Saccharomyces cerevisiae S288C: one gene and its partners. Each later gene encodes a partner of the first gene's protein in a complex. Each region holds a gene or a part of one and is shown in the gene's direction. Other genes may lie near its edges. The genes, in order: MRP35, MRPL36, MRPL44 and MRPL27.

Region 1 (8,436 bases):
TTGTCATATTTTTTACCAATTTTTGTTGACCAAGTGACGGCAGTGATTTTCTGGCGATCAAGCAATTAGGCTTCACATTAGTTTCTTCAACGTTAATGAGGAACTGTGCCAGATTTCTGATTTGTAAAAAACTTTCAATCTCGACGGATAATAGATCTTTCATAGGATATAGGTTTTTATACTTACATGGTTTATTATTCAAAGTATCAAATGATTCCGAGTCTAGAAACGTCGCTATTTGAGAACCTTTACCTTTTACCACAAGAGAAATAATTACTTCAGATAGCTTTGTCATGGAATGTCCCCACATTATGGCATTATAACCATTTTCGTATGCAAAATGCTTGATCAATTGAGTTTTTATAATCGATATTAAATCAGACCTGGATGAATTATTGAGACAGTATTTGCCTAATATTTCTTTTAATGTTAATATATTGCTATCATCTACTGACTTTGACTTGCTGAAAATCTCAAAATTTTCATTGTCAATGATAAAAGTCGATACTTCCGATGCATTGTTGAAAAATTCGTTAACATCAATAAAATGGACATTAAATATGTTGGATATTTTATTCAGTTGTGACATTTTTTCATTAATCAAGGATTCCATACGTTCTTTGATAACAGAAACATTTTCCTCGGTGAATACCGTGAGTACATCGACGGTAAAGCCTGTACGATTATTGTGTTGCTTAGTTTGTTCCAATAGCAAGTCGTGCACAATATCTAACATAACCAGAGATCCTGAATCAGAATGTGATAAGGGGAGCAGAATCTTAGAGACGGATCCTTCTTTTTCAAATGGGTATATAACTTTAAATAGGTTCCTGAAATATTCATCCTTCATCATTTGTTTCCTTTGTTTAGTACTAACAAACTTGATGAAACATTCATCGCAAAACTTTTCCTTTCTAGACTCAACTGTCGCTGGATTTCTGGCAGATGCAGGGCACCTCTGGCACTCCATAACTTGATAGAATTATATTTTTAAAACTAGGATAGGGATGGACAATAGCAAATACAGAAACCGAAGTTAATTTTATGCTCGTCTCACTCATCTCATCGGTACTATAACAGTTTTTCACTGCGTAACTGAAAAAAACTCCATAATACGTAGATAATGATGATGTAATTAAGTCAACTATTCAAAAATAATAAAGATGACTTTATTGAAAGAAACACTGTGCAGGCAACTTCAAATGTTTCCATAAGGTTCAACAGTGTTATATCATTTCAGAAACAAACATTCAAGGATTAAGTGGAAGGAAAGAAAGAGTTTCATTGCCATTAGTTTAAAATATACAATATCACTGTATACGATGAATAAGATGGCGTTAAACCACCTTTTGTGTTTGGACGACCAGTGGAAAAGATCTTAAAGGAATTAAGAGGAACTCCACCACTCACCATAAAAGAGAAGCAAGATTCGGAAGTGAAATTACAGCTCACATCTAGGTTCTCAATTGCCAATGAAGAGCTTCATTACAAGGAACAAGACAGCCATTTTGGCAACCGTTGCTGCTACAGGTACTGCCATCGGTGCCTACTATTATTACAACCAATTGCAACAACAACAACAACGAGGAAAAAAGAACACGATCAACAAAGATGAAAAAAAGGACACAAAGGACTCTCAAAAGGAGACTGAAGGTGCTAAGAAATCTACAGCCCCATCAAATCCTCCTATCTACCCGGTTTCTAGTAATGGCGAACCAGATTTTTCCAATAAGGCAAATTTCACCGCTGAAGAAAAGGATAAATATGCATTAGCGTTAAAGGACAAAGGTAACCAGTTCTTTAGAAATAAAAAATATGACGATGCTATTAAGTACTATAATTGGGCATTAGAATTGAAAGAAGACCCAGTTTTCTACTCGAATTTATCGGCTTGCTATGTTTCTGTGGGTGACTTGAAAAAAGTTGTTGAAATGAGTACTAAGGCTCTTGAATTAAAACCAGACTACTCAAAAGTTTTACTGAGAAGAGCTTCTGCTAACGAAGGGCTAGGAAAATTTGCGGATGCGATGTTCGATTTGTCTGTATTGTCTCTAAATGGTGACTTCAATGACGCCTCTATTGAACCAATGTTGGAGAGGAACTTGAATAAGCAAGCTATGTCTAAATTGAAAGAAAAGTTTGGCGATATTGACACCGCTACTGCTACTCCAACTGAATTATCCACCCAACCAGCTAAAGAACGCAAAGACAAGCAGGAAAACTTGCCTTCAGTTACATCCATGGCCTCTTTCTTTGGTATTTTCAAACCCGAGTTGACTTTTGCCAATTATGATGAATCCAATGAAGCTGATAAAGAGTTAATGAACGGTTTAAGTAATTTGTACAAAAGATCTCCCGAAAGTTACGACAAGGCTGATGAGTCTTTCACGAAAGCTGCAAGGTTATTTGAAGAACAATTGGACAAGAACAATGAGGATGAAAAGTTAAAGGAAAAATTGGCCATCTCATTAGAACACACAGGTATTTTCAAGTTCTTGAAAAACGATCCATTGGGAGCTCACGAAGACATCAAGAAAGCTATTGAATTGTTCCCAAGAGTCAATTCATATATCTACATGGCATTAATCATGGCTGATAGAAATGACTCGACTGAATATTATAACTACTTCGATAAAGCGCTGAAACTGGACTCAAACAATTCTTCTGTTTACTATCACCGCGGCCAAATGAATTTCATTTTACAAAACTATGATCAAGCAGGAAAAGATTTTGATAAAGCTAAGGAATTAGACCCAGAGAATATCTTCCCTTATATTCAATTAGCATGTCTAGCGTACCGTGAAAACAAGTTTGATGACTGTGAAACTTTGTTTAGTGAAGCTAAGAGAAAATTTCCAGAGGCACCAGAAGTTCCAAATTTCTTTGCTGAAATTTTAACAGACAAGAACGATTTTGACAAGGCTTTGAAGCAGTACGATTTGGCTATTGAATTAGAAAACAAGTTGGATGGTATTTATGTTGGAATTGCGCCTTTGGTCGGTAAAGCCACTTTGTTGACAAGAAATCCAACAGTAGAAAATTTTATTGAAGCCACGAATTTATTAGAAAAAGCGTCCAAACTAGACCCAAGAAGTGAGCAAGCTAAAATCGGTTTAGCTCAAATGAAATTGCAGCAGGAAGATATCGATGAAGCTATTACATTATTCGAAGAATCCGCTGATTTGGCTAGAACTATGGAAGAGAAATTACAAGCCATTACTTTTGCTGAAGCCGCTAAAGTTCAACAAAGAATTAGGTCTGATCCAGTATTGGCTAAAAAGATTCAAGAAACTTTAGCTAAATTACGCGAACAGGGTTTAATGTAAACAGTAAACATAAACTTAAAAACTTTTAGGAGAAGACAAAAACTAAGTAACAAAGTAGACTAAATGACAAAGGAAGAGCAGCAATGACATTGACATCTCACTTTGAAAATTTTTGTTTTCATTTTTGTTTCAATATACACGTATGCATGTTCTAATATATATATATATATCTTTTTCTTTTTCTCTTTCATTCTGTAAATAATTAGCAGTGCGTATAAACCACAACCAATTTTTTCAACCTTGAAGCCCTCGCCAATTTGCGGAGCCTAAAAAAATCTGGTCAAATACAAAAAAGATAGTATATATATCTATCATGAAAATTAGCTTGCATAACAAACGGCAACGAGGAGACCAAAACCAAAACATGTCTGTTTTCAATGTACTCAAACCACTACTTAAAGGTTCAAATAGTTTCAAAGTGAAGCTCAACGGCTTTCTATTCAATAACGTTTCTACAATAACAATAAGAACTTTAATGAAAACTCATAAAGGTACAGCAAAGAGGTGGAGGCGTACCGGTAATACTTTTAAAAGAGGCATAGCTGGAAGAAAACATGGCAATATAGGCTGGTCCCATAGATCATTAAAAGCCTTAACCGGAAGGAAAATTGCCCATCCAGCTTATTCAAAGCATCTAAAGCGGTTATTACCCTATCATTGAAGGTGGAATAATTATGTTCTCCTCTAAACCAAACGCACCGTTAACCCCAAATCAATTGTTTGAGTATTTGCTTTCGGTCTTCATGTATATAAATAAGTATGAAACAATAACCATAAATTTATACAATCGATAATACCTTAGAGAATTCAAGCGTTGAAGTAATTAAATACTATTTCGTCAGGCGCTTGCAACCATCTCGACATCATAATCCTAACCCCTCAAAATGATTGAAAAACTTGTAAATCTTAACGCTCCTGTGATAGTCTATAAAAAAACTGTTCTTTATGGAAGACTTTGATGTATACATACATACATACATATATAAATGTTTTATCAAATCTGGCCTATTTTTCACTTTGGCTGTTGCCGGTAAATTCCTTTTCAATCCATTTGTGCGTGATGTTGTCCCTCTTCAATTCTGCAGTAGGGAAGTAATGATAATTCGTTTTCAGTGAAATAGCGAAGGGCACATTGTCGAAAGTCATTAACCTCATTTTACAATAACTATTATCAGGGATTGTTTTGACAACTTTCAAAAATGTATCTAGATCAGGTGTTTCAATTTCATTGACATGAGTTATGAAGTTTGTGGCAGATATACCGTACTGGAGCGCCGGTGACGATTCTCCCCTGAATGTACAGTAGACACCCTTTGGAACATCAACCATAGCTTGCAAAACAGCATGATGCGGCTTTTGTAAGATACTACCTGCAAATATTACAAAACGGTCGGTTTCCTGAACTTCCACGGTTTTAATTTTCAAATCAACAATATTACCATCACGAACAACTTTAAAATCTAACATGGCTGATGGCAAAATACCATCAGCTGAGCTTACAACTCCATTCAAATCATTCATTTCAGTGACTAATTTTCCGTTCACAGATAAAATGACGTCACCGGTCTCTAAATGAATCTTGTCTTCTGTATAAGAAACTCTAGAAACAGTGATAAACTGTAGCCTGTTATTTGATTCATGTTCCATACGCATGATCCATTCTTCGGGCACACCTCTAATTCTGGCTTGCAGAACGGAAATTGAACCGAACCCAGCATCAACTATACTTACTCTTGGTTTACCGCCATTTTTTAAGATATCTATAACTTCCCTACAGTCCATTATATCTAATCCCATCAAATAAACCTTTTCTTTATTTTCTAATCTTTCGCCTAAAAATGGAAGCCATAAACCTCTTACTGTACCATCATTATCTGTCAAAATACCGGAATTACATCTGGTGCTAACGTTGCAGTCGATAGATATAGCTTCTAAATTAGTGGCACGGTACCTCGGAATTAAATTACTTGGAATACTTACAGAGGAAATATCGGTGACAGTGGTCTCTGAAGTAACAATTCTATCATTCTGGGTAAAACCTATAAACTGAAGCTTATCACCACGTTTCATTCTGGTGGTAGATAGCTTGGGAGTGATTAGTGGAGCCTTTACTAACTCTGGATCATATTTAACAATAGCGAAGTTGTGAGTTGGATGGAGAAATTCTACTGTGGCTGGAACTACAAGGGAATCTGCAATGGTGACAAAAGTATCAAGACAATCATGTGGAACTACCCTTCTGGACACTAGGACATAACCTTTTTCAGCATCAATGATTAAGCCTGATGTTTTTAAAATATCAGCAGAAAGTGAATCCAATGGAACTGCTGCCATTGTAGCCACTGTACATAACGATGATGACAATTTTGCAACTTTTTCATTATTAACAGGAATAGGAATAATTTTGGCCGAACGAGGTTTCAACGCATCGGCTGGAAGTGGATCAGCAACATTTTTGTAATCCCAAATACCAGTTGTATCGTTCCTTGTGTAAACTCTGAATTCATTGCACCAATGACGGTCAATGTAAATAGAAGTAACAAGTGGAGAATGCTGATCTGTTAGATGGTGGTATCGTACAGTAACGCGCTTACGATCTGGAATAGTTTTCATAATTTCAATAAATGTATCTAAGTCGGGGGTTTCCTTATTGTCTATAGAATCCACAATCCAACCCACTCTTTCTTTTGAATCAAAGTTGAAAGACCCTGATGCACTACTTAAAAATACACCCCTGACAGGTAGCGCATAAAACCTTGCCATTTGATATGATAATTCATGAAAAGTCGCACCACAAACCTCTACATAACGATGAGGGGTGATAGCATGTAAATCACCAACAGTGCAGGTGACAGTACATTCGACACCGCCCCTTTGAATAACCAATTGGATTTCCTTCCCAACATTTTCATCTTGAATTTTATCCACTTGCATGAAAGAAGATATGGTTTCACCGTTTATTGAAATTAGAGTATCACCTTCTTTAATTTTATCATAGCCTGGGCCTTCTCTTAAAACGGTTTCTGCTACCAACAGTCCGATATTTTCGGGAAATTTAGCACGAGCCTCACTTTCTCTCTCTGAAGTTAAACCTAATCTTCTACACTCGTCATAAGGCTTCAGCAGCCATTGAACTTGAATCGTACCACGTGTGATAGGTTTGTTGGTTTGGATGCAAATTAACGCTCTAAGAATTCTATCTAACGGTAAAAAAAAATCAGTAGATGCCTCTGTAGAGCCACCTGCCTGTAAAGCCACAGCATACCCATCTATATTTACGACTGGAGAACCACTTGAACCGCCAGAAGCAGATGCAGCAGCTTGAATATATTCTGTATTGAAGTCATTGTATGTCAGCTCACCATATTCTGGAGCGTTCCTGTCAATTCTACTAATAAAACCTGCTAGGATACTTAATTTCTCACCGGCATCATTACCGACAACTCTAATTTCTGAGCCGACCTTAGCCAAACTTGGTTTTAGCGTTAACGCTTTGATCTTAGAATATTTTATGTTTTTCGGATCGAATTTGAGGAACCCAAAATCATGAACAGGATCTCTGTAAATTGGTATAACATCGCATTCTTCATGATTATCGAAAACTACGTAGCCTACGAACGGACCAGGACCAACGACGTGCCTATTGGTCAGAATTATACCTAATTTAGCATCCACGACAAATCCGGTAGCTTCAGATACCAAAGCAGAATCGCAATCGAATGGCGCAACTTGTGAAAAATGAATGGAAACCACTGATTTAACAACGTTGGAGATGGTATTTTGCCATCTTAGATAATTTTCTGAATCTGTGAGTACAGTGTTATTATTATTAGCAAAGTGCAACGGCTCTATAATGATTTCATGGTCTGTATATTCTTCCTCTTGATCTCCGGTGGCGCTTTCCAACTGTTTCCTTTTTACAAGCGATGATTCACCAGAAGTTCCATCGGAAATTTTAGAATGGTCTCTTTTCTTTATATTGCTCAACGATATGGTCATTAGTAGATCTAAAAAACCTTTACTGTACTCTACGTGTGTATTCAGAGTATAAATATCTTCTAAATAAACTTCCGTATTTAAACCCTCGTAGAACTTTTTTATTTACATATAAATTTTTTGAAAGTTTCATATCATCGCCTTGAGGAAAAAAAAAGAAAAAAAGAAAAATTATCATGTCACACGCTGAGATGGCGTCTAATAATGGTAGTGACAGTAAAATAATATTCAATTAAGAAACTTGTTAAATTTTTCTTGCCTCTTTCTAGTTTATCTATGATACATAGCATTTATTATTAAATATTTCAATCGTGACTCTAGGTTCTTGGATCTTGCTGATGCTGATGCTGATACTGGTGTTGCTGTTGCTGTTGCTGCAAAAGTATTTGATGTAATTCCATTACTTGTTGGAAATTACCATTTCCCTGAGGAGGTGCTTGAGGTGGCGGTTGGATGTACATTGGGTTTTGCATTTGATTCATGGGAGGTACGCCATATGGAAGTGGCGGTTGACTTTGGGTCATTGGCATGAACGACTGCTGTGTTGGCGGCGACATATTGTTGTATGCGGGAGGTAAGCTACCATATGGAACAGTGTTGGAGAATTGGGCCGGTGTCGCCTGCCCAAATGGTGGAGGTGGATACTGGAAGTTAGTCGGCTGAGGGAAAGGTGAGTATGGTGGATAAGGCATACCGTTTGGTTGTTGAGGGAAGGGATAATTATTTGCAGAAAACTGTTGTTGGTGGTGCTGTGTGATTGGCACTGGGGAGGAGCCATTCCGATTAGAGGTAGCACTGGATTCACGCTTGATATTTTCACGTGCGTTTCTTGATTTGTACCCATGTTGCATCGGAGCATTACTGCTCATGCCCAACGGCGGTACCAGTTTAGGTAAACTGTTGGCCTTGGGCTGCCGAGCTCTCTTTACCTTGACATTGTCACTATCGTTGGCTAGTTTGCGGTTGTCCCTTTTCTTTCGTTGCCGTTGCTGTTTCTTCATTTTCTTGAAAAGGGCCTCTTTTTCGTCGTCGGAAAATTCTTGTTCCTCTTCAGGTAATTCTTCATCGTACCCATTAGACGCATCAGTACCTTTGTTGCGCTTTAACTCGAAAG
Region 2 (8,716 bases), on another chromosome or scaffold:
TCTGGAATGGAATAATTTCAAAAGTTTTGTCAATTCTGTACCAGATAATGACTCTCAACCTCAGGAAAACATCGGGAATTTGATCTTAGACCGTAGCGTTAAAATTCCGAGTACAGATTTCCAACTGCCGCCACCTCCTAAGTTATCAATGGTTGGTTTCCCCCTGCTTTATAAATATAAAGCTAATCCATTTGCGAAAAAAAAAAAAAACGGTGTCACAGAAGTGAAGGGAACATATATCAAAAACTATCAGTTGTTTGTTCATGATCTTAGTGATAAGACAGTTATACCGTCCCAAGCTCATGAACAAGTCCTGTACGATTTTGAGGTCGCGAAGAAAACAAAAGTCTATCCAGGCACTAAAAGTGACTCTAAATTTTATGAATCGCTGGAGGAATGCTTGAAAATTTTGAGAGAGCTCTTCGCTAGACGTCCAATTTGGGTTAAAAGACATCTTGATGGGATTGTCCCGAAGAAGATACACCATACTATGAAGATAGCGCTGGCACTCATATCTTATCGTTTCACAATGGGGCCTTGGAGAAATACATATATCAAATTTGGTATAGACCCCAGAAGTTCAGTGGAATACGCCCAATATCAAACAGAATATTTTAAGATTGAAAGGAAATTACTATCTTCTCCCATAGTGAAAAAGAATGTACCAAAGCCACCACCCCTGGTATTCGAATCAGACACTCCAGGCGGTATTGACAGCAGGTTCAAATTTGATGGAAAAAGAATACCGTGGTACCTGATGTTGCAGATTGATTTATTAATTGGTGAGCCAAACATTGCAGAAGTTTTTCACAACGTCGAATATTTAGATAAGGCGAATGAACTAACTGGATGGTTCAAAGAATTAGACTTGGTCAAGATAAGAAGGATAGTAAAATACGAACTTGGTTGCATGGTTCAAGGAAATTATGAGTATAATAAATACAAGTTGAAGTATTTCAAGACAATGTTATTTGTTAAAGAATCCATGGTACCCGAAAACAAGAACTCAGAAGAGGGAATGGGTGTTAACACCAATAAAGATGCTGATGGGGACATAAATATGGATGCAGGTAGTCAAATGTCCTCAAATGCCATAGAGGAGGATAAGGGTATCGCTGCTGGTGATGATTTTGATGATAATGGCGCCATAACTGAAGAGCCAGACGACGCTGCTTTGGAAAATGAAGAGATGGACACTGATCAGAACTTGAAGGTGCCTGCAAGTATAGACGATGACGTGGATGACGTTGATGCAGATGAAGAAGAACAAGAAAGTTTTGATGTTAAAACAGCGAGCTTCCAAGATATCATAAATAAAATAGCTAAACTAGATCCTAAAACCGCGGAAACAATGAAAAGCGAGCTCAAGGGATTTGTTGATGAAGTCGATCTGTAATAAGTAGGTTTTCTTTTATTTCAATATCAAAATATGCCAAATGTGCAATAAAACCATAACTACGTATGTGATATTTCTGAGTTTTGTCCCCAAACCGTAAAGAGCGATTATCTCGTGCAAAATGCATCAAAATCAAATAACTAAAATGAAAGGGTATCATTATTATTCCTAAAAGTTAAGAATGCCTCCAGAAAGAACGGGTACCAACGCAAACGAACACACGTTTTGTTCACTCCTAATGTTGAAGTCTATATTTGCGAAGCGATTTGCTTCCACAGGGTCATATCCTGGTTCTACAAGAATTACTTTGCCAAGAAGGCCTGCAAAAAAAATTCAACTGGGGAAGTCACGACCGGCTATTTATCACCAATTCAATGTCAAAATGGAGTTGAGTGATGGAAGTGTAGTTATCCGGAGATCCCAATATCCAAAGGGTGAAATTAGATTAATTCAAGACCAGAGAAATAATCCGCTGTGGAATCCTAGCAGGGATGACCTAGTCGTTGTGGATGCTAATTCTGGTGGTAGCTTGGACAGATTTAACAAGAGGTATAGCTCTTTGTTTTCTGTCGATTCAACGACCCCAAATTCAAGCTCTGAAACAGTTGAACTATCTGAAGAAAATAAAAAGAAAACACAGATTAAAAAGGAGGAGAAGGAAGACGTTTCTGAAAAAGCGTTCGGTATGGATGACTATCTATCTCTGTTAGACGATAGTGAACAACAGATCAAATCAGGTAAGTTGGCCAGTAAGAAGAGAGACAAGAAGTGAATAGTGTTTGCTCCCCTTACTTTTCTATTCTCGAACCAATTTATATTCCTTTTGGGACATAGATCTCAATCGCATCTGTTTGAAGACTACATAAACAGCCTTGTATATACCGCAACATATACACATACGTCTACATATGTATATATTGACAACGAAGATTCTGCGAACGCTTGGTTTGGCGCTATCGCGATAGATTAAGTGCAACAAGACACACATTTACAAACATAATATGAACCAGATATGATTCATGGATTATCGAGGCAAATGGTCTGTGAATGAAGCTCACTTACGCTGCAATAAGCAGCAACGGCATTGTAGTGATCATTTTCTACGCCTCGTAATATTTCAGCGCAGTGGAAAAAAATTGAAAATTTTTACTCTTCTCGAGTGTTGAATCACTGCTGCGATACTTATCACGTACTTTGTATACATAATTTTACTTGCAATTAGGACTCGAAATCTGTTCAATTACTTTTGAGGATTTCTTTTATTTTAGTTTCCCTTTTTGCATTCGTGTTGATTTTCAAGAAAAATTGTCGTTCTTCAATATCAGTAGACGATTTTACTCTCAGATTGTTAAAAAATCGGTTAAGATTAAAAGAATGAGTGTAGAAGATATCAAGAAGGCTAGAGCCGCTGTTCCATTTAACAGAGAACAGCTAGAAAGTGTTTTGAGAGGAAGATTTTTTTATGCCCCAGCTTTTGACTTGTACGGTGGGGTTTCTGGTTTATATGACTATGGTCCACCAGGTTGTGCATTCCAAAACAACATCATTGACGCCTGGAGAAAGCATTTTATTTTGGAAGAAGATATGTTGGAAGTTGATTGTACTATGTTAACTCCATATGAGGTTTTGAAGACCTCAGGTCATGTTGACAAATTTTCTGATTGGATGTGTAGAGATTTGAAGACTGGTGAGATTTTCAGAGCTGACCATTTAGTCGAAGAAGTTTTGGAAGCTCGCTTAAAGGGTGACCAAGAAGCCAGAGGTTTAGTCGAGGATGCTAATGCCGCTGCTAAGGACGATGCCGAAAAGAAGAAGAGAAAGAAAAAAGTTAAACAAATTAAAGCAGTCAAATTGGATGACGACGTTGTCAAAGAATATGAAGAAATTTTGGCTAAAATAGATGGTTATTCCGGCCCAGAATTAGGTGAATTGATGGAAAAATACGATATCGGTAACCCAGTCACCGGAGAAACTTTAGAATCTCCAAGGGCTTTTAACCTGATGTTTGAAACGGCTATTGGCCCATCTGGTCAATTAAAGGGTTACTTGAGGCCAGAAACTGCCCAAGGTCAATTCTTGAATTTTAACAAGTTGTTAGAATTTAACAACAGTAAGACCCCTTTTGCCTCAGCCTCTATCGGTAAATCATTTAGAAATGAGATTTCCCCAAGGGCCGGTTTATTAAGAGTCCGTGAATTTTTGATGGCAGAGATTGAACATTTCGTTGACCCATTGGACAAATCTCATCCAAAATTTAATGAAATCAAAGACATCAAGCTTTCCTTTTTGCCTCGTGATGTTCAAGAAGCTGGTTCTACTGAACCAATTGTCAAGACAGTTGGTGAAGCAGTTGCTTCAAGAATGGTCGATAATGAAACTTTGGGTTACTTTATTGCCAGAATTTACCAATTTTTGATGAAAATTGGTGTTGATGAGTCCAAATTGAGATTCCGTCAACATATGGCTAATGAAATGGCACATTATGCTGCTGACTGTTGGGATGGTGAATTGAAGACATCTTACGGGTGGATTGAATGTGTCGGATGTGCTGATAGATCTGCCTATGATTTGACCGTTCATTCCAAAAAGACCAAAGAAAAATTGGTTGTTAGACAAAAATTAGATAATCCAATTGAAGTCACCAAGTGGGAAATTGATTTGACGAAAAAATTGTTCGGTCCAAAATTCAGAAAAGATGCACCAAAAGTTGAATCTCATCTATTGAATATGTCTCAAGATGACTTGGCTTCCAAGGCTGAGTTATTGAAGGCAAATGGCAAGTTTACTATAAAGGTTGATGGTGTTGATGGCGAAGTCGAGTTGGACGATAAATTGGTTAAAATCGAACAAAGAACAAAGGTTGAACACGTTAGAGAATATGTTCCTAGTGTCATTGAACCATCTTTCGGTATTGGCCGTATCATCTACTCCGTTTTTGAGCACTCTTTCTGGAACAGACCAGAAGACAATGCCAGAAGTGTTCTTTCCTTCCCACCTTTGGTTGCTCCAACAAAGGTTCTTTTAGTTCCTTTATCTAACCACAAAGATTTAGTTCCTGTTACTACTGAAGTCGCCAAAATCTTAAGAAAGTCTCAAATCCCATTTAAGATTGATGATTCTGGAGTTTCCATTGGTAAAAGATATGCCCGTAATGACGAATTAGGTACTCCATTCGGTGTCACCATTGACTTTGAATCTGCCAAAGACCATTCTGTCACTTTGAGAGAAAGAGATTCCACCAAGCAAGTTAGAGGTTCCGTCGAAAATGTCATCAAGGCTATCCGCGATATCACTTACAATGGTGCTTCTTGGGAAGAAGGTACCAAGGATTTGACTCCTTTTATTGCCCAAGCTGAAGCTGAAGCTGAAACTGACTAAATAAATGACTTAATTTTAACTATATATCGCCAAACATGTAAATTAAAAAAAGAAGCGAGAAGTATATACATGTGTGTATGAATAAATAATTCGTTTACTATTGATACGTATTGCAAGATATGATTATGTACTGTCCACTAATACGATTATTTTGGAAGTTTATAAAAGAAGTGCGGAAATCACATCTGCTGTTTATTTAGCCATTCCTCACACTAATAGTTAAAGTACTTTCATAGCAGCTCTGCGCATGGTCGGACATGCGAAAAATTCTGATATCAAGAAAAAGCGAAATATTTCCGGCCTTGTAGGGGCCAAAACATTAACGTATATCAAGATTTCCTGTGGTAGCAACATTATAAGAAAAAAAGGTAGCCTTCATTGAAACATTCTCTCTATCAGCTTACCAAGTTAAACTCCGTATTCCACAAGCAAGTGCCAAAATGTCTTCTTCCCAGGTCGTCAGGGATTCTGCCAAAAAATTAGTTAATTTACTGGAAAAATATCCAAAGGATCGTATACACCACTTGGTCTCATTCAGGGATGTACAAATAGCAAGATTTAGACGTGTAGCGGGTCTGCCAAATGTAGATGACAAAGGAAAATCTATAAAAGAGAAAAAACCCTCATTAGATGAAATAAAAAGTATAATTAACAGAACTTCCGGTCCATTAGGACTGAATAAGGAGATGTTAACCAAAATTCAAAATAAAATGGTAGATGAGAAATTCACGGAAGAAAGCATCAACGAGCAAATTCGTGCCTTGAGCACTATAATGAATAATAAATTCAGAAACTATTACGATATTGGCGATAAGCTCTATAAACCTGCAGGAAATCCCCAATATTATCAACGGTTAATAAATGCCGTTGACGGTAAGAAAAAGGAAAGCTTATTTACTGCAATGAGAACTGTATTATTTGGTAAATAAAGAGCACATTATTTTCTAAGCTTGTAAATACATATTTATTCATAATGGAGAACGTTATTCAAATTTATCTGTGAATTTCTTTACTCGAGGTATACTTCCGCAAAGGAAATTCTACTTAGCAAATCCTATGGTAACGTCATTGTTTTGTAGCTTGTAAGTGGAGCCTAACTGATTCTTGATTTTCGTAGCATCAGCAACGGTCTCGTATTCCACGAAAGCTAGGTTACGAACGCTAACTAATCTGATTTCAACTAAAGCCTCATTGCCAAGTATTTGCGACAATAATTGCTCGGTAGTGCCGCTTGGCAAATTTTGTATAAGAAGGACTTTGTTCGGTGGATTTTCCATTGTATTGGACACTTTAGCCCGCTTAAGAGGTTTCTGCGATTGTTTTAGATTTTCTTGCTGAGACTTCATGTTTTCCAATCTACGGGTTTCAAATTCTTTTACAATCCTATCAATCTCAGCCTCCTCTACCTTTCTTGATCTCAGCTTATGCTTCAGGCGTCTTATTTGCCTTTTAAGCCTGAACTTTTTGGCGCATATATCATCACTACGTAACTTGCGTTTAAGTTTCCTTGCTTTAAGCACCTTCTTTATATCAAGGTTGTACGTTTCGTCATTACCTTTTTTTTTTTGCATTTCTATTGAAAGACCCAATAACGAATTTGTTCGAGCCTTTCCCATTCTCACTTTACGACCTTGAACTTTTAATGCTGTTGTCGTGTATTTTTCTAGAAACCGGTCTGCTTCTTCTTGAGTGACAAACGTTAAAAATGCTTGGTTAGTCATCTTTGATGATCTTGAAATAGAAACTTCAAGAAGGCCCATTTGATCATCTAGTAACATCAGCGGTTGTGATGATATTTGTAATTTATTGTGGGGAAGGGGTAGCGACGGATTAATGGCATACTTGTTGTTGGGATTAATGTGTTTCAGAAGTAATCTGGTATAATTTTCTTTATTTGCTGGCCTACTGGGTAAATTTTGAAAGTACAGTCTGTTTTTATTGGTCATAGAGTATAGAATAATGAAAACGTTAGTAGAAAGAAGATTTAAGGAAACGTAAATTACAAGGTATATACATACGCTGACATGGTTTCTTTAGGTTTGATGAGGCCGTCTTTTGTTGATAGCAGCTTTTTCCATTTTTTTTTTTTTTGTTTCGAGTAACGTATGGTTTAGTATCTGTCTTCTCCTTCTCTTACAAAAAAACCCTTTGTAAAATAGTGCCGAGTTGGAGGACATCAATCTGATGGGCAAGAAAACACCAACCCCCCCTATATGAAAAGAAAATGATAAGCAGATAGATAAAAATACTTAATTAACTAATACATAAAAATAAGAGGTATATAAAAATATTATATGGAAGCAATAATTATTACTCTTATTTCTTAGCAGCCTTTTGAGCAGCCTTGGTAACCTTAGCGGCCTTTTCAGTCTTGTCAACAGACTTGATAACACCGACAGCGACAGTTTGTCTCATGTCTCTGACAGCGAATCTACCTAATGGTGGGTATTCACTGAAAGCTTCAACACACATTGGCTTAGATGGAACGAACTTGACCAAAGCAGCGTCACCGGACTTCAAGAACTTTGGATGGTCTTCCAACTTCTTACCAGATCTTCTGTCGTTCTTTTCCAACAATTCGTCGAATCTACAAGCAATGTGAGCAGTGTGACAATCCAAAACTGGAGAGTAACCAGCAGAGATTTGACCTGGATGGTTCAAAACAATGACGGTAGCGTTGAAAGAAGCGCAACCCTTTGGTGGATCGTTCTTAGCGTCACCACAGACGTTACCTCTTCTGATTTCCTTAACGGAAACGTTCTTGACGTTGAAACCAACGTTGTCACCTGGAACACCTTGTTCCAATTGTTCGTGATGCATTTCAACGGACTTGACTTCAGTGGTAACACCAGCTGGGGCGAAAGTAACAACCATACCTGGCTTGATGACACCGGTTTCAACTCTACCGACTGGCACAGTACCAATACCACCGATCTTGTAAACATCTTGCAATGGCAATCTCAATGGCTTGTCAGTTGGTCTAGATGGTTGTTCAATGGCGTCAATGGCTTCCAACAAAGTCTTACCCTTGACGACACCGGCCTTGGTTTCCTTTTCCCAACCCTTGTACCATGGAGCGTTGGTGGTAGCTTCAATCATGTTGTCACCGTTCCAACCAGAGATTGGGACGAATGGAACAGTCTTTGGGTTGTAACCAACCTTCTTGATAAAGTTGGAGGTTTCCTTGACAATTTCTTGGAATCTGGATTCGTCCCATTTGACGGAGTCCATCTTGTTGACAGCAACAATCAATTGTCTAACACCCAAGGTGAAAGCCAACAAAGCGTGTTCTCTGGTTTGACCATCCTTAGAGATACCGGCTTCGAATTCACCGACACCACCAGCAATAATCAAGATAGCACAGTCAGCTTGAGAAGTACCAGTAATCATGTTCTTGATGAAATCTCTGTGACCTGGAGCATCAATAACGGTAACTTGGTACTTTGGAGTTTCGAACTTCCACAAAGCAATATCGATAGTGATACCTCTTTCTCTTTCAGCCTTTAACTTGTCCAAAACCCAAGCGTACTTGAAAGAACCCTTACCTAATTCAGCGGCTTCCTTTTCGAACTTTTCGATGGTTCTCTTGTCAATACCACCACACTTGTAAATCAAATGACCGGTAGTGGTAGACTTACCAGAATCGACATGACCGATAACGACAACGTTAATGTGAGACTTCTCTTTACCCATGTTTAGTTAATTATAGTTCGTTGACCGTATATTCTAAAAACAAGTACTCCTTAAAAAAAAACCTTGAAGGGAATAAACAAGTAGAATAGATAGAGAGAAAAATAGAAAATGCAAGAGAATTTATATATTAGAAAGAGAGAAAGAAAAATGGAAAAAAAAAAATAGGAAAAGCCAGAAATAGCACTAGAAGGAGCGACACCAGAAAAGAAGGTGATGGAACCAATTTAGCTATATATAGTTAACTACCGG
Region 3 (8,645 bases), on another chromosome or scaffold:
ACATGCAAAGTTTCAAATGAACAGGCTGCCCAACAAAAAGATACCATTGAAAATATTGTTCCAGGCAGAACAATCATTACTGTCCATGTTATCGAAAAAACCAAAGATTCTGTTATTGTTGAAATTCCTGATGTTGGCTTGCGTGGTGTCATCTACGTTGGTCATCTCTCTGATTCCAGAATTGAACAAAATAGGGCTCAGTTGAAAAAGCTCAGAATCGGCACTGAACTGACTGGTTTGGTAATTGATAAAGATACAAGAACCCGCGTTTTCAATATGTCCCTCAAAAGTTCTCTGATTAAAGACGCTAAAAAGGAGACTCTTCCATTAACATATGATGATGTTAAGGATCTAAATAAAGATGTACCAATGCACGCTTACATTAAATCCATTTCTGATAAGGGTCTCTTTGTTGCATTTAACGGTAAGTTCATTGGGTTGGTTTTACCAAGTTACGCTGTTGATAGTAGGGATATTGATATCAGCAAGGCGTTTTATATTAACCAATCCGTTACCGTCTATTTATTAAGAACAGACGACAAAAACCAGAAATTCCTATTATCTCTAAAAGCTCCAAAGGTCAAAGAAGAGAAGAAGAAAGTTGAATCTAATATCGAAGATCCTGTTGATTCGTCTATCAAAAGCTGGGACGATTTGTCTATTGGTAGTATTGTTAAAGCAAAAATCAAGAGCGTCAAGAAAAATCAATTGAATGTTATTTTAGCGGCAAATTTGCATGGCAGAGTGGACATTGCTGAAGTGTTTGACACGTATGAAGAAATTACAGATAAGAAACAGCCGTTGAGTAATTACAAAAAAGACGATGTCATCAAGGTAAAAATCATAGGTAATCACGATGTCAAGAGCCATAAGTTCTTGCCGATTACACACAAAATCTCAAAGGCTAGCGTTTTGGAATTATCCATGAAACCATCAGAATTAAAATCTAAGGAAGTGCACACAAAAAGTCTTGAGGAAATCAACATTGGGCAAGAGTTAACTGGCTTTGTCAACAATTCATCAGGTAACCACCTATGGCTAACAATTTCTCCAGTTTTGAAGGCGAGAATTTCTCTACTAGATTTAGCTGATAACGATTCAAATTTTTCAGAAAATATTGAATCTGTTTTCCCATTAGGTTCAGCCCTCCAAGTGAAAGTTGCCTCTATTGACCGCGAGCATGGCTTTGTCAATGCCATTGGAAAGAGTCATGTTGACATAAATATGTCCACAATTAAAGTTGGTGATGAATTGCCAGGTCGTGTTCTAAAAATAGCTGAAAAGTATGTTTTGTTAGACCTTGGTAACAAAGTGACTGGTATTTCCTTTATTACGGATGCGTTAAATGATTTCTCCCTAACATTGAAGGAAGCTTTTGAAGACAAAATTAACAACGTCATTCCAACTACCGTTTTATCTGTTGATGAACAGAATAAGAAAATTGAACTATCCCTTCGTCCTGCTACTGCAAAAACTCGTTCGATCAAATCTCATGAAGATTTGAAGCAAGGCGAGATTGTAGATGGTATTGTTAAGAATGTGAATGACAAAGGTATTTTTGTTTACTTGAGTAGGAAAGTTGAAGCCTTTGTCCCTGTTAGTAAACTATCTGATTCTTACTTGAAGGAATGGAAGAAGTTTTACAAGCCTATGCAATACGTTTTGGGAAAAGTCGTTACATGCGATGAAGATTCTCGTATTTCTCTAACCCTAAGAGAATCCGAAATAAATGGTGATTTAAAGGTTCTAAAGACCTATTCAGACATTAAGGCTGGTGATGTTTTCGAGGGTACAATTAAAAGCGTCACTGATTTTGGTGTTTTCGTCAAACTAGATAACACTGTTAATGTTACTGGTTTGGCACATATTACTGAAATTGCGGACAAAAAACCTGAAGATCTTTCTGCCTTGTTTGGTGTTGGGGACAGAGTAAAAGCTATTGTTTTGAAAACAAATCCAGAAAAAAAACAAATTTCATTGAGCTTGAAAGCGTCTCATTTCTCTAAAGAAGCCGAATTGGCTTCTACTACCACCACCACTACTACTGTGGATCAACTGGAAAAGGAGGATGAAGATGAAGTCATGGCAGATGCTGGCTTCAACGATTCCGACAGCGAATCTGATATCGGAGACCAAAACACCGAAGTTGCCGATAGGAAGCCTGAAACATCTTCGGATGGGCTATCCTTGAGTGCTGGTTTTGATTGGACTGCTTCCATTTTGGATCAAGCGCAAGAAGAAGAAGAGTCTGACCAAGATCAAGAAGACTTTACTGAAAATAAGAAACACAAGCACAAGAGAAGAAAGGAAAATGTTGTTCAGGATAAGACCATTGATATCAACACTAGGGCACCAGAATCTGTTGCCGATTTTGAACGTCTACTTATCGGTAATCCAAATTCGTCCGTAGTGTGGATGAACTATATGGCTTTCCAACTACAACTGAGTGAGATCGAGAAGGCTCGAGAGCTCGCAGAACGTGCGCTAAAGACCATCAACTTCAGAGAAGAAGCCGAGAAGTTGAATATTTGGATTGCAATGCTGAATTTAGAAAATACTTTTGGTACCGAAGAAACTTTAGAAGAAGTGTTTAGCAGGGCTTGTCAGTATATGGACTCATATACTATTCATACAAAACTGCTTGGTATTTATGAAATAAGTGAAAAGTTCGACAAAGCAGCAGAATTATTCAAAGCTACAGCTAAGAAATTTGGCGGCGAGAAAGTTTCTATCTGGGTATCGTGGGGTGATTTTTTGATCAGCCACAATGAAGAGCAAGAGGCACGTACTATTTTAGGTAATGCTTTGAAGGCCCTACCAAAGCGTAATCATATCGAGGTTGTCCGCAAGTTTGCTCAATTAGAATTTGCAAAGGGTGACCCAGAAAGGGGTCGGTCATTATTCGAAGGTTTGGTTGCTGATGCGCCAAAGAGAATTGACCTGTGGAACGTTTACGTAGACCAGGAAGTGAAGGCAAAAGATAAGAAGAAGGTGGAAGATTTATTTGAGAGAATAATAACCAAAAAAATAACAAGGAAGCAGGCTAAGTTTTTCTTTAATAAATGGTTACAATTTGAGGAATCTGAAGGTGACGAAAAGACCATTGAATACGTTAAAGCTAAAGCTACTGAGTATGTCGCTAGCCATGAATCTCAAAAAGCAGACGAATAATTCCTGATGGATTTTTAACTGTAAAGTAATATAAATGGCTAAGTTTGTAAAGTATATTTGTAAAGTACATAGAATGTAAAGTTTCAAGAAGCAATTTCTATCGATCAATTTAGCTTTGACGGTTCGTAGAGCTCCTTTTCTTAAAGTTTTAGTTCCGCTTCTCGCTTCTTGATTACAAGATGGTTCCGTGTTAACGAAGATTGAGTTCTATGTATTTTTTATATTCACACGCTAAAATCACATATTTATTAAATAATGAAGTAAATTTTAAAAGCACTTTTTTCAACCAGAGTGCTCTGTTTGATACATATCAACAAAATCCATTAAAATATCTGGTTTGAAAGGCCACTCCATGAATAATTTCGTTAGATATATAAACTCGTCATTTGTCAAATCAATCGGACACTTTTTTAGCAGATCTTTGTCAGTGATTCTACTATTAAAATATTGTTGGCCACCATGTCCCAGCGAGTCCATGACAGTATTCAAGGGTGTTCTTTTCAAAATCATTAAGTGCCTCGTGACATAATCCCAATTATCTACGTCAAAATCGAAGTCAATTGGGTCCATTTCTACTAACGCAATTGGCTTTCCCTTTGTAGGCCATATTTCCGCAGCACTAAATAAAATGGGATCCCATTCTTCTATGCATTGACTATCAAATCCCTTCAATTCATTTGCGTCTGATATGGCAATGAGTTTAGTATCTGTAAATGCCTCCCTTACTACTGAACATTTGGATCTAGAATGCATGCCTGGCCTAGCTAGAAGTTTTCTAGCTGTTGTGCTTGGCATCCATAATAACATCTTTACTTTACCAAACCTATACAACCAGTTCTTGTTTCCAATACAGGACAGCCACTGCATTATAAGACCTTCAGAACCCTCCCCCGTCACATTAGCAACGGTTAGAAATTTATCATTAATATGATCTGAGGATTGAACTTCAGGAACAAATATTCGCTCTTCGTCAATTAGATTCGAGTAGGTTGACCAGTCATATGGATCTCTTTTTAGAATTTGCAATGGAGACCCTTCGAATTTTGCATTCAGAAACTTGTAGAGACTTGAGCGTTTTTCTAATAAAGAATATTGCCTGGGGCAATATTTATTATAAAAAATAGCTGATTGTATACCAACACCAGGGTAGAGGTCAAGTACTTTCAATTCTTCTGGATGTTTATACGTTTTAGTTAAATCCAGCTTATCAAAGATTTTATTGTATACTGTTGGATTCCATAAATATTTGAAACCATAAAAGAACTTAAGTTTGGAGATATCTTTAATACCAGGGATTGGAACAGACATAGTTGCTGAGCCTTCTTACTTCAAAGAATGGTATTGACTGACGTAGTAACCGCATTTGTAAAGTTTCATCTCTATTATCATCATACAATAATATCGCTGTTATTCGGCCGATGAGAACAGTAAATAAAATTTCAAGACAAAACTTGCTAGCAAAAATAATAAAAGCGAGAAGAATAGGAAGAACTACATAAACAAGAGACAGTGTTACCATTCAAATTAGTCGCAATAATCGACGTAAATATGGCTGTTATAAGAATTAAAAAACCCAGAGGACCAGGAGAGAAGGATCAACCATTAGAAGGCGAGCCTAAACTAAAGAGAATTCGCATAAAGACAAAGGTAACTGATGAAGATATCAAACCAAAGCCTAAATTAAAGATAAACCTAAAGAAAAAGAAAGAGAGTGCTGACGGCAAAGAGAAGAAGAATTCATTGAAGTTAAAGTTAAACTTGAAAAAAAATGAAGAACCAGTTAAGAAGATACACAAGGCGCCAAAGCTACGTCTCAAACCTATTAGAATTCCTGGGGAAGCGTACGACTCAGAAGCCTCTGATATTGAAGATGACCCTCTCATAGAGAGTGGTGTGATATTAAGGATACTTCCAGACATACAGTTAGAGTTTGTAAAAAATTCGTTAGAATCAGGTGATTATTCTGGGATAAGTATCAAGTGGAAAAACGAGAGACACGCTGTCGTAACAATAAACGATGTAATGTATGGTGCCATTCTAGTAGATTTGCCTACAGTTATAGAAGTGAACAAGAGCGTCGATAGAAAAAACCTCCTGAAGACATTTGACGTATCACAAATGCTACTATGCATAAGACCTATACAAGAAGAGGAAGAAGTATATGCCCTAGAAGCCCCTGATACAGAAGATCTGGTTGTTAAGCATTTTGAAGGCATAGAGGATGAAATTTGGGAGAATAAAGAAACCTTCTTAAAAGGATACAATGGTGCGCCTTTAAGTGATATGGAGGCTAAACATTTGAAAGAAATAGCTTTGAAGGGCTATGACTACAAACATGGAATATCACCACCTTTGTACAATGTTCGAAATAGACGATTTAGACGGAAAATGGACCCTAATGAAATAGACTATGTAGAAAAAGTGGTTGATATGCTTTTGAAGCAAGATAAACAGGCAGAAGAGGTCAGCTATGATCTGGTTGATAAAAGTGAACTGCAAGCGAGGCAAGAGCGTGTTTCTAGTTGGGAAAATTTCAAAGAGGAGCCTGGAGAGCCTTTATCTAGACCTGCTTTAAAGAAAGAAGAGATACACACAATTGCTTCGGCAGTAGGAAAACAAGGTGCAGAAGAAGAGGGAGAAGAAGGAATGGAAGAAGAAGAAGAGGAGGATCTTGACCTAGGCGCTGCTTTTGAAAGTGAAGAGGAAGGTAGCGGTGCCGAGGGAGACAAGGAGCAACAACAAGAGGAAGTCGGTGATGAGGTGGATCAAGACACAGGCGGAGAAGATGATGACGATGATGACGACGGTGACATTGAAGCTGCTGGTGGGGAAAGTGAATCTGATGACGAAAAAGACGAAAACAGACAGCACACTGAATTACTTGCGGACGAATTGAACGAACTAGAGACCACCCTGGCCCATACCAAGCATAAATTAAGTAAAGCCACGAATCCTCTTTTGAAAAGCAGGTTCATAGATAGCATTAAAAAGCTCGAGAAGGAGGCTGAACTAAAACGTAAGCAGTTACAACAAACCGAAGATTCTGTCCAGAAACAACATCAACATCGCTCTGACGCAGAAACTGCAAATAACGTCGAGGAAGAAGAAGAGGAAGAGGAAGAAGAAGAGGAAGAGGATGAAGTGGACGAAGACGAGGAGGATGACGAAGAAAACGATGAGGACGAGGATAATGTGCATGAACGGGAACACATACAAGAGAACAAGGTGGTGCGCGAACTTGATGAAGCCCCCGCAGAGGAAACACTCGACCAGAACGATCTCGATATGATGATGCTATTTGGTGCAGAGGGTGATGAGTAAGTTCTCTTTATCATCTATATATTACTCTTATACACTATACGACTCTACTCTATGACGTATAGCATTGATATATATTAAGGCACGACACCGATTTTTCTTATCGGAGCGATATAAAAAGCTGAAGAAAGGAGGATAGATGAAACAGCATGGCGCATAGAAAGTGTTCAAGCTCACTAGTAAAGGCGGGAAATAGAACATTGAGAACGTATTTTGATAATGTCCCAAGGTAGAAAAGCTGCAGAAAGATTGGCTAAGAAGACTGTCCTCATTACAGGTGCATCTGCTGGTATTGGTAAGGCGACCGCATTAGAGTACTTGGAGGCATCCAATGGTGATATGAAACTGATCTTGGCTGCTAGAAGATTAGAAAAGCTCGAGGAATTGAAGAAGACCATTGATCAAGAGTTTCCAAACGCAAAAGTTCATGTGGCCCAGCTGGATATCACTCAAGCAGAAAAAATCAAGCCCTTCATTGAAAACTTGCCACAAGAGTTCAAGGATATTGACATTCTGGTGAACAATGCCGGAAAGGCTCTTGGCAGTGACCGTGTGGGCCAGATCGCAACGGAGGATATCCAGGACGTGTTTGACACCAACGTCACGGCTTTAATCAATATCACACAAGCTGTACTGCCCATATTCCAAGCCAAGAATTCAGGAGATATTGTAAATTTGGGTTCAATCGCTGGCAGAGACGCATACCCAACAGGTTCTATCTATTGTGCCTCTAAGTTTGCCGTGGGGGCGTTCACTGATAGTTTGAGAAAGGAGCTCATCAACACTAAAATTAGAGTCATTCTAATTGCACCAGGGCTAGTCGAGACTGAATTTTCACTAGTTAGATACAGAGGTAACGAGGAACAAGCCAAGAATGTTTACAAGGATACTACCCCATTGATGGCTGATGACGTGGCTGATCTGATCGTCTATGCAACTTCCAGAAAACAAAATACTGTAATTGCAGACACTTTAATCTTTCCAACAAACCAAGCGTCACCTCATCATATCTTCCGTGGATAAACCTAGCTAAACTAAGTAAATCTGTATACTTTTTATACATGTAAGACTTTTTAGCTATTTCATTCTTCCCTGAACCGTTTTGCGCGATTCTACGGAATATACCGGCGAAATAAAAGAGATAAACTTATGGATCCTCAAATAGAGGATGAACAGATGTGAAGAAGAAACGAGCTTAATTATATCTTCGCCATGATAACTAAATACTTCAGTAAGGTAATTGTCAGGTTTAATCCCTTTGGCAAGGAAGGTATGTATTTTTTTTCGCTCTGTTATTCGTTCTCCTTACCTTTGGCCATCATGATTTAAAGATTTGGCTAAACTAGGCTGAGGTAGGCTCGAACCGATCTATCACAAATACTAACAGCAAATGATATGGTCATATCATTGATTTCAGCGAAAGTTGCTAGGTTAGTACTTGCTGCCATTCCACCAACGCAACGAAACATGGGCACGCAGATTCAATCGGAAATTATCTCAGATTACAATAAAGTCAAGCCTCTTGTGAAAGTAACCTACAAGGACAAAAAAGAAATGGAAGTCGATCCATCAAACATGAACTTTCAGGAATTAGCCAATCATTTCGACCGTCACTCGAAACAGCTGGATCTCAAACATATGTTGGAAATGCATTGAGAAAATAAAGGCATCTACAAATCTCATTGTAGGCATGCACGTTTCTAATATTCTAACAAAAACAAAGTCAGAGTTCACAAGCAAGCCTGTAAATAATATATATGCAATTACACAAACGTATAGATAGATATACCCAACCAAACTGACTTAAGGTTTAAATAGTATGGCCAATCGAATAGAACCCAAACATTATAGCCATATTAAATTACTCTTTACGCTTGTAAGGAAGACAATGTGGAAACAACATTAAGAGAATGCAGACAATTGACGCAAGTTGTACCTGCTCAGATCCGATAAAACTCGACTATGGACTATCCTGATCCAGACACAATAAGGATTTTAATTACTACAGATAATCATGTGGGTTACAACGAAAATGATCCCATTACTGGCGATGATTCTTGGAAAACTTTCCATGAAGTCATGATGCTGGCCAAAAATAACAACGTAGACATGGTTGTACAGTCCGGTGATCTTTTTCACGTGAATAAGCCTTCCAA
Region 4 (2,486 bases), on another chromosome or scaffold:
CAACCCGCAATATAAAAATGGGAACTCAATAGTTTGGGATATGACGCTATCTTCATTGTCGATTTTATCGTTTATCAAGGAGATTTTAACAGTGTTTTGCCCTTTATCTTTAGAGAACTCCCAAAGCTTGCTTATTCCATCACCAGCGGATGAAATTATGTGCTCTGCACCAGAAGTTCGTGAGCTTTTTTCCAATAACTGATTAAACCTGGGACACAATTTATTAATAGAATAAATAAACCCATAATGTGCATATTTAATAATGTTTTCGGAGGGAACCTCTATGATGGCAGCGCCACAGTTTTCTTGTAGAGAGGTCAATGAAGTTTGAGATAATGAATTTGAACTATATCCAGTCGGACCTAACGAATCAAAGAACTTATCATATCTTCTATGCGGTAATTTATTGATATTTTCTACTCCATCAGAGGATTTTTTTTCAATCTTCTGAATCAAGTTCTCAACATATAGTAAGCTTGCATTTTGACAGCCAAAGACAATAGTTTCCAACGAATCCAAATATGCCAATGAGAAAATATCACCAATATCGGTCACTGAGTAAACAGTGGCTATTTCAGTAACAGGTAGAAAGTCATCTCTAATGGTCTTTTCGCCAATGGACCAAATTCTCACCAAAGAATCTGCGCCGCCTGAAAATAAAAAGTTTTCATCTTCTGATCCTGTCAAGCACAAAACCGAAGATCTGGTATGCGTTTCCTCTTGTGATTCGCCTAGTCTAATCGTATGTATTAGATTATATGTGGGAAGATCAAAAACCAATATCTTGGAGTCTTGGCTACCAGCAAACAACAATCTTTTTTTTGGAAATGCAACAATGGATAAGATGGAAAAAGCGTGATTCCACCTATGAATTAGTTCAGAGTGCAATGCGACACCCCTGCTATCGTACATGATTTCACAATTACTTCTGCCCTCGTTTTTCACTTTTCCTTACAGGGTTGTTCGGTTTCTCGAAATAGTTTTTCACTTAAATAATTCAGTTACACACATTTTATTGATATTGGTGCCACAGCTTTTCGCGGCGCACAATGCGATTATCACTCAAGTTTATGGTAAAGTCGGTATTCCCTCTCATGAGAAAAAAAAAAAAAGATACCATCTTCATTGAACTTCTAATTGCAGCAGTAATTGTGAGCAATGCTCAAGAGCTTCCTTACCATATAACAAAACATCGAAATCAGAGGATCATTCTAGATCAAAGTGAAATGCCCTTAACTATGAAAAGGAATACGAAAATAGCTGTGAAGTGTTATTATAATTATTAACAAGGTTAGTAATCTTTAAACAGAGCCTAATACTTGCGGGAAGGACTTTCAATGTTGCTTCACTGCAGCTTGTTGGCGGCTATTTGATGATGATTTTCTTGAGATACATAATTATTATTATCACGTTTCACGGATTATTTTTGAAAAGCTAGAATTAATACAAAAGATAGGACTATTGAAGTAGTATACACCAATTTTTGCTTAAAAAAACTACGGGAATCAAAGATTACCTTGAAAGTGAGGACAGCAAATAACTAAAATGAAAGGCTCACCCATTTCTCAATTTAGTAAGACCTCTATTAATGCTCTTACCAGGCCTTGGAAGAAATACAGAGATGGTGAATTATTTTATGGGTTATCAAAAGTTGGGAATAAAAGAGTGCCGTTGACCACGAAGCAAGGTAACAAGACGATGTACAAAGGGACAAGAGCTTCAGGGATTGGTAGACATACAAAATTCGGTGGTTATGTGATAAACTGGAAGAAAGTCAGAACCTATGTTACCCCAGATATGGTTAATTTCGAATTAAAGCCCTACGTTAACGCAAATGTACCACCTCTAAAACACGAATTTAAAGGATTTAGCGGCGGCCCATTAGATCCTCGTTTACAGTTATTAAAGATAAAAGAATACATAGTAAACGGGAGGGTACAAAGCGAAGGGGCCACCGACACTTCATGTTATAAGGAGCGTGGATAAGTTATTTATAATCTTTCTTCAATATGCGTGTAAATACTAGTTTTCGACTTTATAGGTAGATAAAAAATAAAACTTAAGATTGTAAAACAAAATCAAATAAAACATGGCTTAGACATTGCACCATATGTCATCTTTCTTTGAGTTAAATATAGATACATATAAATCTAAAAGAAGAGCAAAAAGTTCGTACGTATATAAATGCGCGTAGCAGAGAGAATTTGATCTTCTTTTTTGTTTTCCTTCTTTTTTTTCTTTTCTTTGTTTACATAGCACCTGGAACACCCAAGACTTGATTCAAAGCACTTTGACCGCCACTTTGTTGGTATTCAATGGTAATGACTTCTAGCAAAGAAAACCCACCAGCAATGCCAACAACTATACCAGCAGCTTTACCTTTCAAACCCAAAGATTCACCGATAACGGTGATCAAACTTAAGACGGATGCACCCGTAACAGCTGCGATTGGAATGACTTTGTTCAATTCTTTAGCGACATTCTGT

What was found.
Region 2: MRP35 (region 1) and MRPL36 share a complex: the UniProt entries of both Saccharomyces cerevisiae proteins name them as parts of the mitochondrial large ribosomal subunit.
Region 3: MRP35 (region 1) and MRPL44 share a complex: the UniProt entries of both Saccharomyces cerevisiae proteins name them as parts of the mitochondrial large ribosomal subunit.
Region 4: MRP35 (region 1) and MRPL27 share a complex: the UniProt entries of both Saccharomyces cerevisiae proteins name them as parts of the mitochondrial large ribosomal subunit.

Annotation. Positions count from the first base shown.
Region 1 is NC_001146.8:393,574-402,009, reverse strand, and holds MRP35 (mitochondrial 54S ribosomal protein bL35m MRP35), read left to right. Parts: upstream 1-3,639; coding exon 3,640-3,987; downstream 3,988-8,436. Other genes in the region: NCS2 (Ncs2p), read right to left, coding at 1-970; protein channel TOM70, read left to right, coding at 1,473-3,326; NMA111 (Nma111p), read right to left, coding at 4,332-7,325; NAF1 (RNA-binding snoRNP assembly protein), read right to left, coding at 7,640-8,436. UniProt on the Saccharomyces cerevisiae protein: Component of the mitochondrial ribosome (mitoribosome), a dedicated translation machinery responsible for the synthesis of mitochondrial genome-encoded proteins, including at least some of the essential transmembrane subunits of the mitochondrial respiratory chain.
Region 2 is NC_001134.8:477,422-486,137, reverse strand, and holds MRPL36 (mitochondrial 54S ribosomal protein bL31m MRPL36), read left to right. Parts: upstream 1-1,634; coding exon 1,635-2,168; downstream 2,169-8,716. Other genes in the region: transcription factor TFIIIC subunit TFC1, read left to right, coding at 1-1,396; GRS1 (glycine--tRNA ligase), read left to right, coding at 2,771-4,774; CBP6 (Cbp6p), read left to right, coding at 5,215-5,703; MUD1 (Mud1p), read right to left, coding at 5,815-6,703, 6,793-6,800; TEF2 (translation elongation factor EF-1 alpha), read right to left, coding at 7,091-8,467. UniProt on the Saccharomyces cerevisiae protein: Component of the mitochondrial ribosome (mitoribosome), a dedicated translation machinery responsible for the synthesis of mitochondrial genome-encoded proteins, including at least some of the essential transmembrane subunits of the mitochondrial respiratory chain.
Region 3 is NC_001145.3:720,460-729,104, reverse strand, and holds MRPL44 (mitochondrial 54S ribosomal protein mL53 MRPL44), read left to right. Parts: upstream 1-7,701; coding exon 7,702-7,759; intron 7,760-7,906; coding exon 7,907-8,145; downstream 8,146-8,645. Other genes in the region: RRP5 (Rrp5p), read left to right, coding at 1-3,171; MTF1 (RNA polymerase specificity factor), read right to left, coding at 3,454-4,479; TATA-binding protein-associated factor TAF7, read left to right, coding at 4,720-6,492; ORA1 (oxidoreductase), read left to right, coding at 6,709-7,512; MRE11 (MRX complex nuclease subunit), read left to right, coding at 8,452-8,645. UniProt on the Saccharomyces cerevisiae protein: Component of the mitochondrial ribosome (mitoribosome), a dedicated translation machinery responsible for the synthesis of mitochondrial genome-encoded proteins, including at least some of the essential transmembrane subunits of the mitochondrial respiratory chain.
Region 4 is NC_001134.8:766,695-769,180, forward strand, and holds MRPL27 (mitochondrial 54S ribosomal protein mL41 MRPL27), read left to right. Parts: upstream 1-1,545; coding exon 1,546-1,986; downstream 1,987-2,486. Other genes in the region: glutamine amidotransferase subunit DUG2, read right to left, coding at 1-912; SSH1 (Ssh1p), read right to left, coding at 2,249-2,486. UniProt on the Saccharomyces cerevisiae protein: Component of the mitochondrial ribosome (mitoribosome), a dedicated translation machinery responsible for the synthesis of mitochondrial genome-encoded proteins, including at least some of the essential transmembrane subunits of the mitochondrial respiratory chain.